Arabidopsis thaliana: one gene and its partners. The protein of the gene in region 1 interacts with the protein of each later gene in a pairwise test. Each region holds a gene or a part of one and is shown in the gene's direction. Other genes may lie near its edges.

The links.
Region 2: the proteins of MYB56 (region 1) and WRKY28 interact in a two-hybrid assay, tested with the Arabidopsis thaliana proteins (one large-scale study listed by BioGRID).
Region 3: the proteins of MYB56 (region 1) and AT1G63840 interact in a two-hybrid assay, tested with the Arabidopsis thaliana proteins (one large-scale study listed by BioGRID).

Annotation. Positions count from the first base shown.
Region 1 is NC_003076.8:5,874,970-5,878,730, forward strand, and holds the start of MYB56 (myb domain protein 56), read left to right. Parts: upstream 1-2,143; 5' UTR 2,144-2,277; coding exon 2,278-2,659; intron 2,660-2,942; coding exon 2,943-3,368; intron 3,369-3,761. UniProt on the Arabidopsis thaliana protein: Acts as a cell-specific local repressor of quiescent center (QC) self-renewal by cell divisions in the primary root. Counteracts brassinosteroid (BR)-mediated cell division in the QC cells.
Region 2 is NC_003075.7:10,059,273-10,063,033, forward strand, and holds WRKY28 (WRKY DNA-binding protein 28), read left to right. Parts: upstream 1-1,941; 5' UTR 1,942-2,235; coding exon 2,236-2,666; intron 2,667-2,779; coding exon 2,780-2,923; intron 2,924-3,037; coding exon 3,038-3,419; 3' UTR 3,420-3,621; downstream 3,622-3,761. UniProt on the Arabidopsis thaliana protein: Transcription factor. Interacts specifically with the W box (5'-(T)TGAC[CT]-3'), a frequently occurring elicitor-responsive cis-acting element.
Region 3 is NC_003070.9:23,689,048-23,692,808, reverse strand, and holds AT1G63840 (RING/U-box superfamily protein), read left to right. Parts: upstream 1-2,001; 5' UTR 2,002-2,317; coding exon 2,318-2,818; 3' UTR 2,819-3,206; downstream 3,207-3,761.

The DNA of each region.
Region 1 (3,761 bases):
AAAATGTTATTAAATAATAATCATTCAAAGTATCTTAATAAAAAAACAAAAGAAAAGTGGAATTGGTCCATAACGGTTCGGGGAACTTTTCTATGAACCGGAAACTGAAATTCGTGAGGACGGTACACGTGTTAGGTAAGAACACGATCCGCTCGTGTGTAACAGCCAATGATGTCGTCATTCCACGTCGGTACAAGACTTTTTTTTTGTCGTCAACAGAAGATTTCAAAATTAACGAAACCGTTCCCATAACCGAAACTCACATAAAAACAAGACACAATAAATAAAAAACTTTAGGTACTTTTCTGTCGTTTCTTTGGTTTCTAACGTCTATTCGTGTTATATTTGTTTTATTCTTCATTTATTATTGTTGAATTTAATTCTAGTTCGAGTTCAGTTACATGATTTCTCTCTTTAATCTCTAGTATTTTAATCCATCAAAATTATGTGGTTGCATACTCGATCGAGTTTAGTACAATTACTAAAATATGTAGCTTTGTTTAGTCATATCAAGACTATAGTAAGTTGTTACGCATGAAAGATAATTATTACATTCAAACGAATGACCACTCAATTCTTATATCAAAAAGATACAAAAAACTAAAGTCTACAACTTATAGGTTCAATGGGAGCATAAATAGTCCATATCATTGAATAATAATGGTCTTCAATAGAGTTGGTTGTTCAATTATTATTTTTGGTTTATAAGAAATGAATTGAACTTTTGTTTGTCACCATTCACATTTTCTTCTCTTTTTTGTACTTTTAGTTTTCCTAAAAATTAAAAAAACTATGTTCCCTTCGTACCTAAAACTTACTTTAAAATAACCAATTTGATGATAGTTTTTTTTAAAAAACTTCAACAAAGATTATATATTTCATCCTGAAACAAAAATTACAGCAAAATTTAAATTTAAACTAGTAGCAAAAAATATAGGATGTGCATATGTTTTCTGTTTGCCACGTCTGTTTTCCATTAAATGTACGCACAACATTGTTTGAGTTCAATTAACTATTTAAGTAATAAACAAAAACAATGCTTGAATTTCACTGAATATAGTATATAAGTAAAAATGTATACACCCCAAACGACGTCGAACCCATCGTTCAAAAGATATTGAAGTACTTGAACTAGTTGTTGAGCTAATCATCATATTACTTTATAATTTAACTACACAAAACGAGTTCTTTGAAAGATGCGAATATATATATACACACTTATACGTTATGGAGAGAACAGAAAGCTCATAAAAGCAATTTATTTCTCTCCCTTTAAGATCTTTTCTTGCTTTGTGTCCGAAACAGACAAAAATTGATTCTGTTGTTTTTTCCCATAATTAACTCACACACACACACTTAACGTACGTGCAATATCTGTATGTGTGCATAGTATATACTATAGCCACACGAGCGGTTCAAAAATGTTTTTTGGAGTTTCCGAGACTGTTGAGACTGTGGGGCCTATGGTCATCGAACCCTCCCACACGCACGAGCGGGTCTCGTTTTGCATGCATCTACACTACACGTACCCACCGACTTTTCCAAATCCCTTACTTTTGCACGTGTAGAGAGAGAGAGCTTTGTACTGAAAGTATCTCATTATTCGAAATTTTTCGTGTAAGAGTAAAAACTAAATCGCAACGTACGTGAAGGAAAACGTGAACCTTGAATATTTAATGTTTTCGTGCGGTTTCATTTTAACTATTTAATTAACACAATATTAGTACAATAACAAGCAGCTCTTATGAAGATAGTGATGAAAAATTGTTATAGATCTATCTTGGAATTTTAATGATCGAATTTCGATTTTGTACGACCACCATCGAGGCATCGACTATAAATATAGTTAAAATGTGGTTGCTGAAAAAAAAAAAAAAATGATAAATAAAATGAAACCGCACGTAATTGTATAAAACCATTAGCATGGGATTATTAGGCCACAATTTGGTAATTAACACTTGTAATTCATTTGAATATGCTTTTACAAAACTTTCCCTTCAATTTCTTTTGGTGTGTGAATAAACAGCTATCAATTTTGTTTTTCATGTACATTAAATAACCACTCTGCACTCATCATCATTTTCTAAAATATTCTTCTATATATATTAACTAGCTTGCAAATAAATGTAAATAAAAATATAAATTTCAATAATTTTTTTTAGAGAATCTCTCTTTCCTCTTCCACCATATAAACAGTGAAAAGCCATTCAAGTGCTCTCTCCCTCTATCTCTCTTCTATTTTTAGTTTCTCTTCCCTTAATCCCTAAACCCAGAAACATGAATCCAAATCTCCTTGAGAAAGATCTAAGAGGTAAGGAAACTACAAATGGGTCAATAAGATACAAAGAAGCAAACAACTTCAGATCTCTACCAAACTCACACACTGCTGCTTGTAAAACTTCACTCAACAACCCCTCTATCTCTAGAAACCATCCTCACAACAAATCAGCCTCAGTCTTGGAGTCGGAAGATGAACATGGGAACGAGAGAGGTGAAAACGAAAAGAGTTTAAGAATGAGGGGCAAAAGTGGAATTAACACAAAAGTATGCTCACGAGGACACTGGAGACCAACAGAAGATGCTAAACTCAAGGAGCTTGTTGCCCAGTTTGGTCCCCAAAACTGGAACTTGATTTCTAACCACCTTCTTGGTAGATCAGGTACATTTATTTTACTTAAAATTCTTATTACTTAATTATTTCCTTCACTTTTGTTACTCCAAATTCCGCAAATTTAACTATTTTTATGTAGAAGAAAAATAAGTAAATATATTTAAAAACTTTGGTGAGTTGAGTTTCCAAAGTTATTAGGCATTTTCGTAATTGTGTTTGGATTTTTTTAAAAATAGTTTTTACAAGTTAGACTAAGTTGTATAAGGCATAATGACATAATGCTTGATAGTAACTAATTTTTATAATGTGAGGGACACTTCTTTGACTACAGGCAAGAGTTGTAGATTGAGATGGTTTAACCAACTAGACCCAAGGATTAACAAGAGAGCCTTCACGGAGGAAGAAGAGTTTAGGCTGTTAGCAGCTCATCGAGCCTATGGCAACAAGTGGGCTTTGATCTCTCGTCTCTTTCCAGGTCGTACCGATAACGCTGTCAAGAACCATTGGCACGTCATCATGGCTCGACGGACTAGAGAAAGCCAAAGACAACGTCAACAGCCTCCTCCGACGTTGTCAAGAGACGCTGAAATGACGGTTTCGTCCTCTTGCCGCTACAATCAAGGTAAGTTCATCAATGAAGAAGATGACGACGACGATGTGTCAGCTGTCTCTACTTGTACGACGGAGCTCTCTCTCACTCCGCCTTCTTCAGCTTACCAGCCTCGCTTCTTTAATTACGATAGTACCCTTGCATCAGGTAACATTTTATTTATTTGCTTAAATATTATGTTTACTATGTTTTTTTTTTTTCTCTATTGAAAATATATTATTTTCATGACCCAAGACATTAAAAGTATAGAAACTTGGAATGTTTTTTTTCGTTTTCGGCTTTCTTGAGAAGTGTTTTCGTGAATCTAACTATAATGATCTCGGTCGGTTGGTCGAGATCGTATTGCAATCTTTATTGGGTGTATCGTTGATCATGATCGGTTTATACTTTAACCGGTACTTCCAAATATCATTTGTGGTCTAAATTTAGCTTATTAGATTCCAGTCTTGTTAATTTTTGAATGTTCAAAGCATATAAAATGATAATTTAGGCCGACATGTTGTATAACCGACGACGAGTGACCACTTCCTACACTTTTTC
Region 2 (3,761 bases), on another chromosome or scaffold:
CTATATATATGTATGTATTCTCGCGCTATCCGTAATATGCTAGGTAATATAGCAGTGATTATTAAACGCATTAAGATCATCATACGTAATTCACGATAATTTGTAATCCAAAAACTTAGGTGTGACCAAAAAAAAAAAAAGAGTTGAATCCTTCACCTACCAAAAAAATGGATTGTGACCAAAAGACCATGACATATCAAATTTTTAGTGATTAAACCGATTTCTTCCAAGATGCTAGTATTTGTTTTTATCTTGCCATATTTTAGTGATTTTTCATAGTAGTAAATATATCACTTTGACCACATTTAAAGTTGATGTATGTCCCCTTCGCATTTGTCATGTCGGTTAGGCATTATATGTCTCCTTTTTTCCTGATCATATGCTCCTATCAATTTCTACAAACTCATGAAAACGATTACTAGCTATATAAATCAAGCATAGGGTTCATAACATGCAACTTTAATTCCCCACAATTATCGCAAATAAAATTGTATATAAAGGGTTTATCGTAATTATCATAATGTTAACATTTTCATAATATAGATACTTTTGGTTTGACCATCTTTTCCTTAATATAAGTTAATAAATTAAGATGCTCTTTTACTTGCAAACAGAAAGTTCTAATGTGAAAAAGAAATTGTTATTGCGTAATCATGATCTCACTTATCCGTCAGCATAAGTAACGATCCACTCCACATAGCTACGTCACTTAAAGTCCCATAGTAACTAATTTTCTTTGAATGTTATAGCAAATTATTAGCAATGTATGATTCTTTGGGTCAAATCTTACACTAAAAACATGAAAATAATTTGAATATCAAGAGATTCATATATTCATATTTTATAACCAAAATATGTAGGGTCTAAATTATTGCTTCTTGACTAGGAATTACCTATGAATAATTATTAAGGTTCGTGAAACAGTGAGGGAAAAAGAAGAAGAAGAAGAGAAGACAGTCTCTAGCACGTGCCAGGTCATGTGTCGGCGACGGTCAAATGCCGGTGCAAGTGTTTCCACGTGGCAGCCTAATACTCCCAAAATATAATCTTTTGTTTTCGTAAACTTTTTTCCCTTTGAATCTTTGACTGCCTCTTACTGCATTCTTCACACCAAACGACCGGCCGGTGACTGAGTGTTTCCGGTTTCCGGTAACACATAGTCTTCGCTGACTAAGACTCCTTCAATAACGTCGTCTTCTTCCACGCGCCGTTTAGTCGTAGCGCGTGTTATCAAGCCCGTCCACTATATATGCCACGTATAGAGTGGGGAAGAAAATGAAGGTGAGAACTTTTCATGTCCTACTTTTTGGCCCCATAAAAAAGGCAGCACACAAAAATAACCCAAAATTTATGCATGTTTATCAAATGTGGAAAAATAAAAGTAGAATTTTAGGAAATTTATACGAAGATACAATGCAAAGACTCGAAGAAATGTATTTAGTGGTATAGAAATACTTGCAAGTAAGCATATTCTGAATTAAAAATATAGAAGCTTAAGTATGTTTCCTCACTAGAAGCCAGTTTTGCAGCTCTATTTTTGTCAACTTAGCTTTACGTAAAGTTCTTATTGCCCGAAACCAAAAAGTCATTCAAAAGGCATAACATGATATCACAAATAAAATTATCATCTACTTCTATATCTTATTTCTTGAATATATATATATATATATATACCTATCTATTAAGTTGCTTATCGTTCACATTATTAATTTATAATTAACTTTATGTACATTTGACTGATAAACATTAAAAAGACTTATTTGAACCTTTTTGTATATGAATTCAAAATTATACTGATAAAATAACGTGAGGAAGAAATATTATGAAAGCTTTTAACATATAAATTAATTTGCATAGGAAAAAATTACACAACTTAAATTGAGATTAGTTAAGAAACAAGAAAAAACAAAGTTGATAGAAAAATAAAAGTATTAACACGACTTTGGATTCACACACGTACCATTGAATTATATCTCAATACACTTTTACTTAATTAACTTATTTCCAAACCAAGTAGCCAAAATCATATTATTCTTCTCTCTCTTCCTTTTTTGAGTTTCAAAATGCATAAATACGAGAACGAGAGACGAAGACCAAATTAAAGTCCAAGCACCAATCTAGACCTCTTAGGAAAAAAACCTAAAAACCTAATCCCCAAACCTAAAAGGCTTATCTCATCTCTTCTTCTTTGTCTTCTTTACTCTTTTTTTACCTCTCTCTTCATTGTTCTTCACCATGTCTAATGAAACCAGAGATCTCTACAACTACCAATACCCTTCATCGTTTTCGTTGCACGAAATGATGAATCTGCCTACTTCAAATCCATCTTCTTATGGAAACCTCCCATCACAAAACGGTTTTAATCCATCTACTTATTCCTTCACCGATTGTCTCCAAAGTTCTCCAGCAGCGTATGAATCTCTACTTCAGAAAACTTTTGGTCTTTCTCCCTCTTCCTCAGAGGTTTTCAATTCTTCGATCGATCAAGAACCGAACCGTGATGTTACTAATGACGTAATCAATGGTGGTGCATGCAACGAGACTGAAACTAGGGTTTCTCCTTCTAATTCTTCCTCTAGTGAGGCTGATCACCCCGGTGAAGATTCCGGTAAGAGCCGGAGGAAACGAGAGTTAGTCGGTGAAGAAGATCAAATTTCCAAAAAAGTGTAAGTCATAACTCTATAGGAACTTTTATGCAAAACATTGAACATCATTTGATCTCTTCGTTTAGGAATTTAGTCTAGCATGTGTATTAATTTTATAGTGTATTATTTTTCAGTGGGAAAACGAAAAAGACTGAGGTGAAGAAACAAAGAGAGCCACGAGTCTCGTTTATGACTAAAAGTGAAGTTGATCATCTTGAAGATGGTTATAGATGGAGAAAATACGGCCAAAAGGCTGTAAAAAATAGCCCTTATCCAAGGTAACTAAACTTTCCCTTTTTATTTTTTGAAATTGCTAGGCTTGTGAAAATTTGTGTTTAGAAAAATGCGACCATTATAGTGTAACTGATAATAGCCAATGGAAACGAAAATAGGAGTTACTATAGATGTACAACACAAAAGTGCAACGTGAAGAAACGAGTGGAGAGATCGTTCCAAGATCCAACGGTTGTGATTACAACTTACGAGGGTCAACACAACCACCCGATTCCGACTAATCTTCGAGGAAGTTCTGCCGCGGCTGCTATGTTCTCCGCAGACCTCATGACTCCAAGAAGCTTTGCACATGATATGTTTAGGACGGCAGCTTATACTAACGGCGGTTCTGTGGCGGCGGCTTTGGATTATGGATATGGACAAAGTGGTTATGGTAGTGTGAATTCAAACCCTAGTTCTCACCAAGTGTATCATCAAGGGGGTGAGTATGAGCTCTTGAGGGAGATTTTTCCTTCAATTTTCTTTAAGCAAGAGCCTTGATCGATCATTGTTATAACTACATATATTATATATATTGAGAGAGAGAGGTAGAGAAAAAAAAAACTTATATGTAACTTAAGATCTTATTTTGTCTCTCTTATTTGCATGTACATATTTTTTCATGAAAGAATGAGACAGTTGGGCTTGCTTATATATTTGATGATGTTTAATGTGTTACCGTTGGATACATATTTTCGCTTCCATTTTGTGAAATTATATTTTCTTCTTTTGGTTAGTTTTTTACATTATGATATTATGCTGTGTAATTTGTACTATCATATGTAGAAGCGAAAAAGACATAACTCTAGCTAGGAGCCTACGATTGATCTCCCAAATGTTGAT
Region 3 (3,761 bases), on another chromosome or scaffold:
TGACGTATATGTACTTAACTGATATATATATATATATATGTTAATGTGTATATATATATATATATATATATACTATGTTAATGTATATAGTTATAGTTGCAAAAGAAAAAAGAAAGTGTTAAATTTTGGAATGTGAAATGTTGGAGGAGAAGATGGAGAGAGTGTGAGGTGGGTCAGTGCTGCTTTTGGCTCTTTCATTACATTAGTCAGATTCCCATATGACATGAGACTTTCGCTCTTCCTCAGAAATAGATCCCTTAATATTGTATTCTAGAAGTATATTTGACATAACGGAATCAAAAGCCAAATTGAAGAGCTATGTGGACTTTTCTACGTAATTAATTTAGGTCTTAATATACTTAGTATACACTCTCAAAATGCTAGTAATTAATATAGCAAATGACGAATATGTAGATTGATGATAGTTCAACTAGTCATGTAATGATGTGAAGATACAAACATAATATGCATTTGAACTCAAATCCTATCAACCATAAGTAACATTTGGGTACCCATATTTATACCAAAACGTAACAGCCAATTAAAAAATCTGGTAAAATTTCATAGAAAACGACGTAATCGTGATACCTTTGTTTACTACTAATCTTGATACTTTATGATTTACATCCATGTGAAAATAAAATCATGTAGACCAAAAATTTCTCATACAAAAACATTAAAAATAGAAATAATGGTTTTGCAATATTTTGTTAAAACAGTTAATTTTTTTAAAAAAATACACACGTATATATTCATAGTTTATATACTTTATAGGCTTATAGCATAGTTCAATAGAGGTACAGACAAACTGAAAAGAAATGAACCTAACTATCTGTCTTCACCTCGATTATTTGTCGTCTGTCTGACTATTTTAATTTAATTCTAATAATTTATGAATGTGACTAGTTTGGCTTATAGGCAAAGATCAATTTTTAGAGTGGGGTTATTGAATATTGTATTCTAACGGAATTGTATGTATTTTCAAAGACACGGTGACATCCACTGTCATTCAATTTCTATTTGATTTTGTTACATTTGAGTTTCAATGTATTATTTTGTCTAAATCACGAGTAAAACAAATACGAGCCTTTTATCTCTGATTTTGATGTATTTCTCATAAAAATTATAAACAAAATAATTATTCCCAAAATTGTTTTATTTCTCTTTCATCTAACAAAGAGATAAAGAATCAGAAGCATTTTGAGAACAATATAATGGCGAAGAAACTGCAAGATCCACCGATGGCATCTTCAAAATGGAGCCTTCGGCTTTGGAGGAGGAAGATCGTATTTTAAGAACAGAAATTCGATCATTCATCCAGATCTGATCCCTTATGTTGCAGTTCCCACTCTCTTTTTTTCTTTTCTTTTTTGCCATTTATGATGCAGTGACTCTTTGAACATGAGTGAAGTTCAAAGAGAACTCAGTCAAAATCCATACCAATTAACGATTAACACATTACAACGTAATACATAAGTCGTGTATTGTAGTGACTTTGTCAAAATCCAAATTCAGTTACGCTAAAATACATTGAAAACATCAATCCAATAATTTTGAACCAAAGATTCAAATAAAAACACGATTTTTTTTATTTTGTAATCGAACGATTTTGAACCAAAGTATAGACTAATTAATATTTGGGATTTTTAGAAAAGTTTAATATATTTAAACCCTCATGGGTTAACCTAGGTATGAGTTTTTTTTTTTCATTTGTAATATGTTGATTATGTGTATTCTTGGGTGCTATAAGCAGAAGTTACATTTCTGTCTCCGTATACCGTATTAAAAATAATGTATACTCAATTGTAAATATCTTTGATTATGTCATTATGTATTTCATGTATACATGTCTTTTCTCCTAAAACTTTTATACCACTTCATAAATCAAGAATTGTAAGAAAGTTAAAATTAAATAAACAGAAATTTAGTGTTTAAATCTGATTTAAAATGGAAATTTGAAAGTAACGAGTTTATTATATAGTAAAATACATATAAGAAATTATTTAAAACCCTTATTTAAATTATATAGAAAAAAAAAAGGTCAAGTAGTCTTCTATTATTTACTAGTATAACCTCTAGAAACATCATCACCACATTCCTGGCTAATATCCTTCATCTAGAACAATTATTAACGAATCAAAATACCAAAAAACAAAGCACCTCATTGACTATTAAATTAGTACTAATACATTAATTAAGTTATTATTCCTATATATAAATCTCACCCATTCTCCACCTTATCATCACAATCCAAAACTCTCTCTCTCTCTCTCTCTCTGTCTCTTGTCTTATCATTTATCTCTCTAACGGCGAGGCAATGGGTTTTCCGGTGGGATATTCTGAGCTACTTCTCCCAAAAATCTTTTTCTACTTGTTATCTTTCTTAGGTTTGATACGTAAACTCATCTCCACAATGTTCAAGATCATTGGTCTACCAGATTTCTTAGAACCTGAACCGGTTTCAACCTCATGGCCCGACCCACCACCCACGTTGACCAAACCTGACTCAGCAGCAATACTAGCCGGAGAGATGTTACCGGTTGTTCGATTCTCGGATATAAACCGACCGGAATCCGAGTGTTGCGCAGTGTGTCTCTACGATTTCGAGAACGACGACGAGATCCGACGGCTGACGAATTGTCGACATATATTTCATCGGGGATGTTTGGACCGTTGGATGATGGGTTATAATCAGATGACGTGTCCACTTTGTCGTACACAGTTTATACCTGATCATCTTCAACTGGAGTTTAATCAAAGGCTCTGGTCTCAATCTTCTGCTGTTTCTTCTCAACTTCTTGATGAATCATCATCTTAGGACGTATTAAATCTTTGTCCAAACAAAAAAAAAAGACATATTAAATCCTTTTTTTTTGGTACTTTCATTGGGAATTGGGTTTGGTGTGAGATCGATGTAAATATTAAACAAAAAAAAAAAGGTAGTGGTTACAGGTTAATGAAAAAAGAAAGAAGAAGAAAATTTGTACTTATCCATCCCTGAAAGATGAAATTACATTTTGAGTTATTATAAAGTTGTAAACTTTTTTTTTTTGTTAAGGAAAAAAAAAATCATTTGCTATAACAGATTAATACTGAATGTGTTAGTTTTTTAGTACAGTATTTTAATAAACATTGTTTAGAAGTTATTTTTTAATTGTTACTTGTTCACCTGGCTAACTCAATGATACTGACATATTGTTTTTTGATTAAAGGCTTACATCAATGATATCTTTCTTTTATAATTTAAAATCAACAAGCATTATGCATAGGTCATTGAAGATAAGATTGTTTGTTCATCCCTATAACATGCTGAACTAATATATTTCAACATGTATTTGAGGGTATTTGAAATGTTCTATAAGTGGTAATAACAAAACTGAAGTCGGAAACCGATATGATTATTCCCCACAAGTGCTAACATCATGTATTTAGGTTCTCATCCGATGACATGTCTTGAAAGAAGCAAAAATTAATGGCGAAATCGTCATGAATATAGATATATCTTGGACATTGCATTTGACTTTTGTTTGATCACGTCTCTCACAAAGGAGCTTGGTGTGTCCTTTACGATTTATCATGTGATCTATTGTGACAATGCTGGAGCTATCTATCTATGGGATAATCATTTTGTTTCATTCTTGTTTGAAACATGTGGCACTTGACTATCATTTTATCCTAATCATGTTTTTCACTCCCGGTTTCTTATGTATTGTTCATATTTCGTCAAAAGATCAATTAGCAGATACATTCACCATATTTTT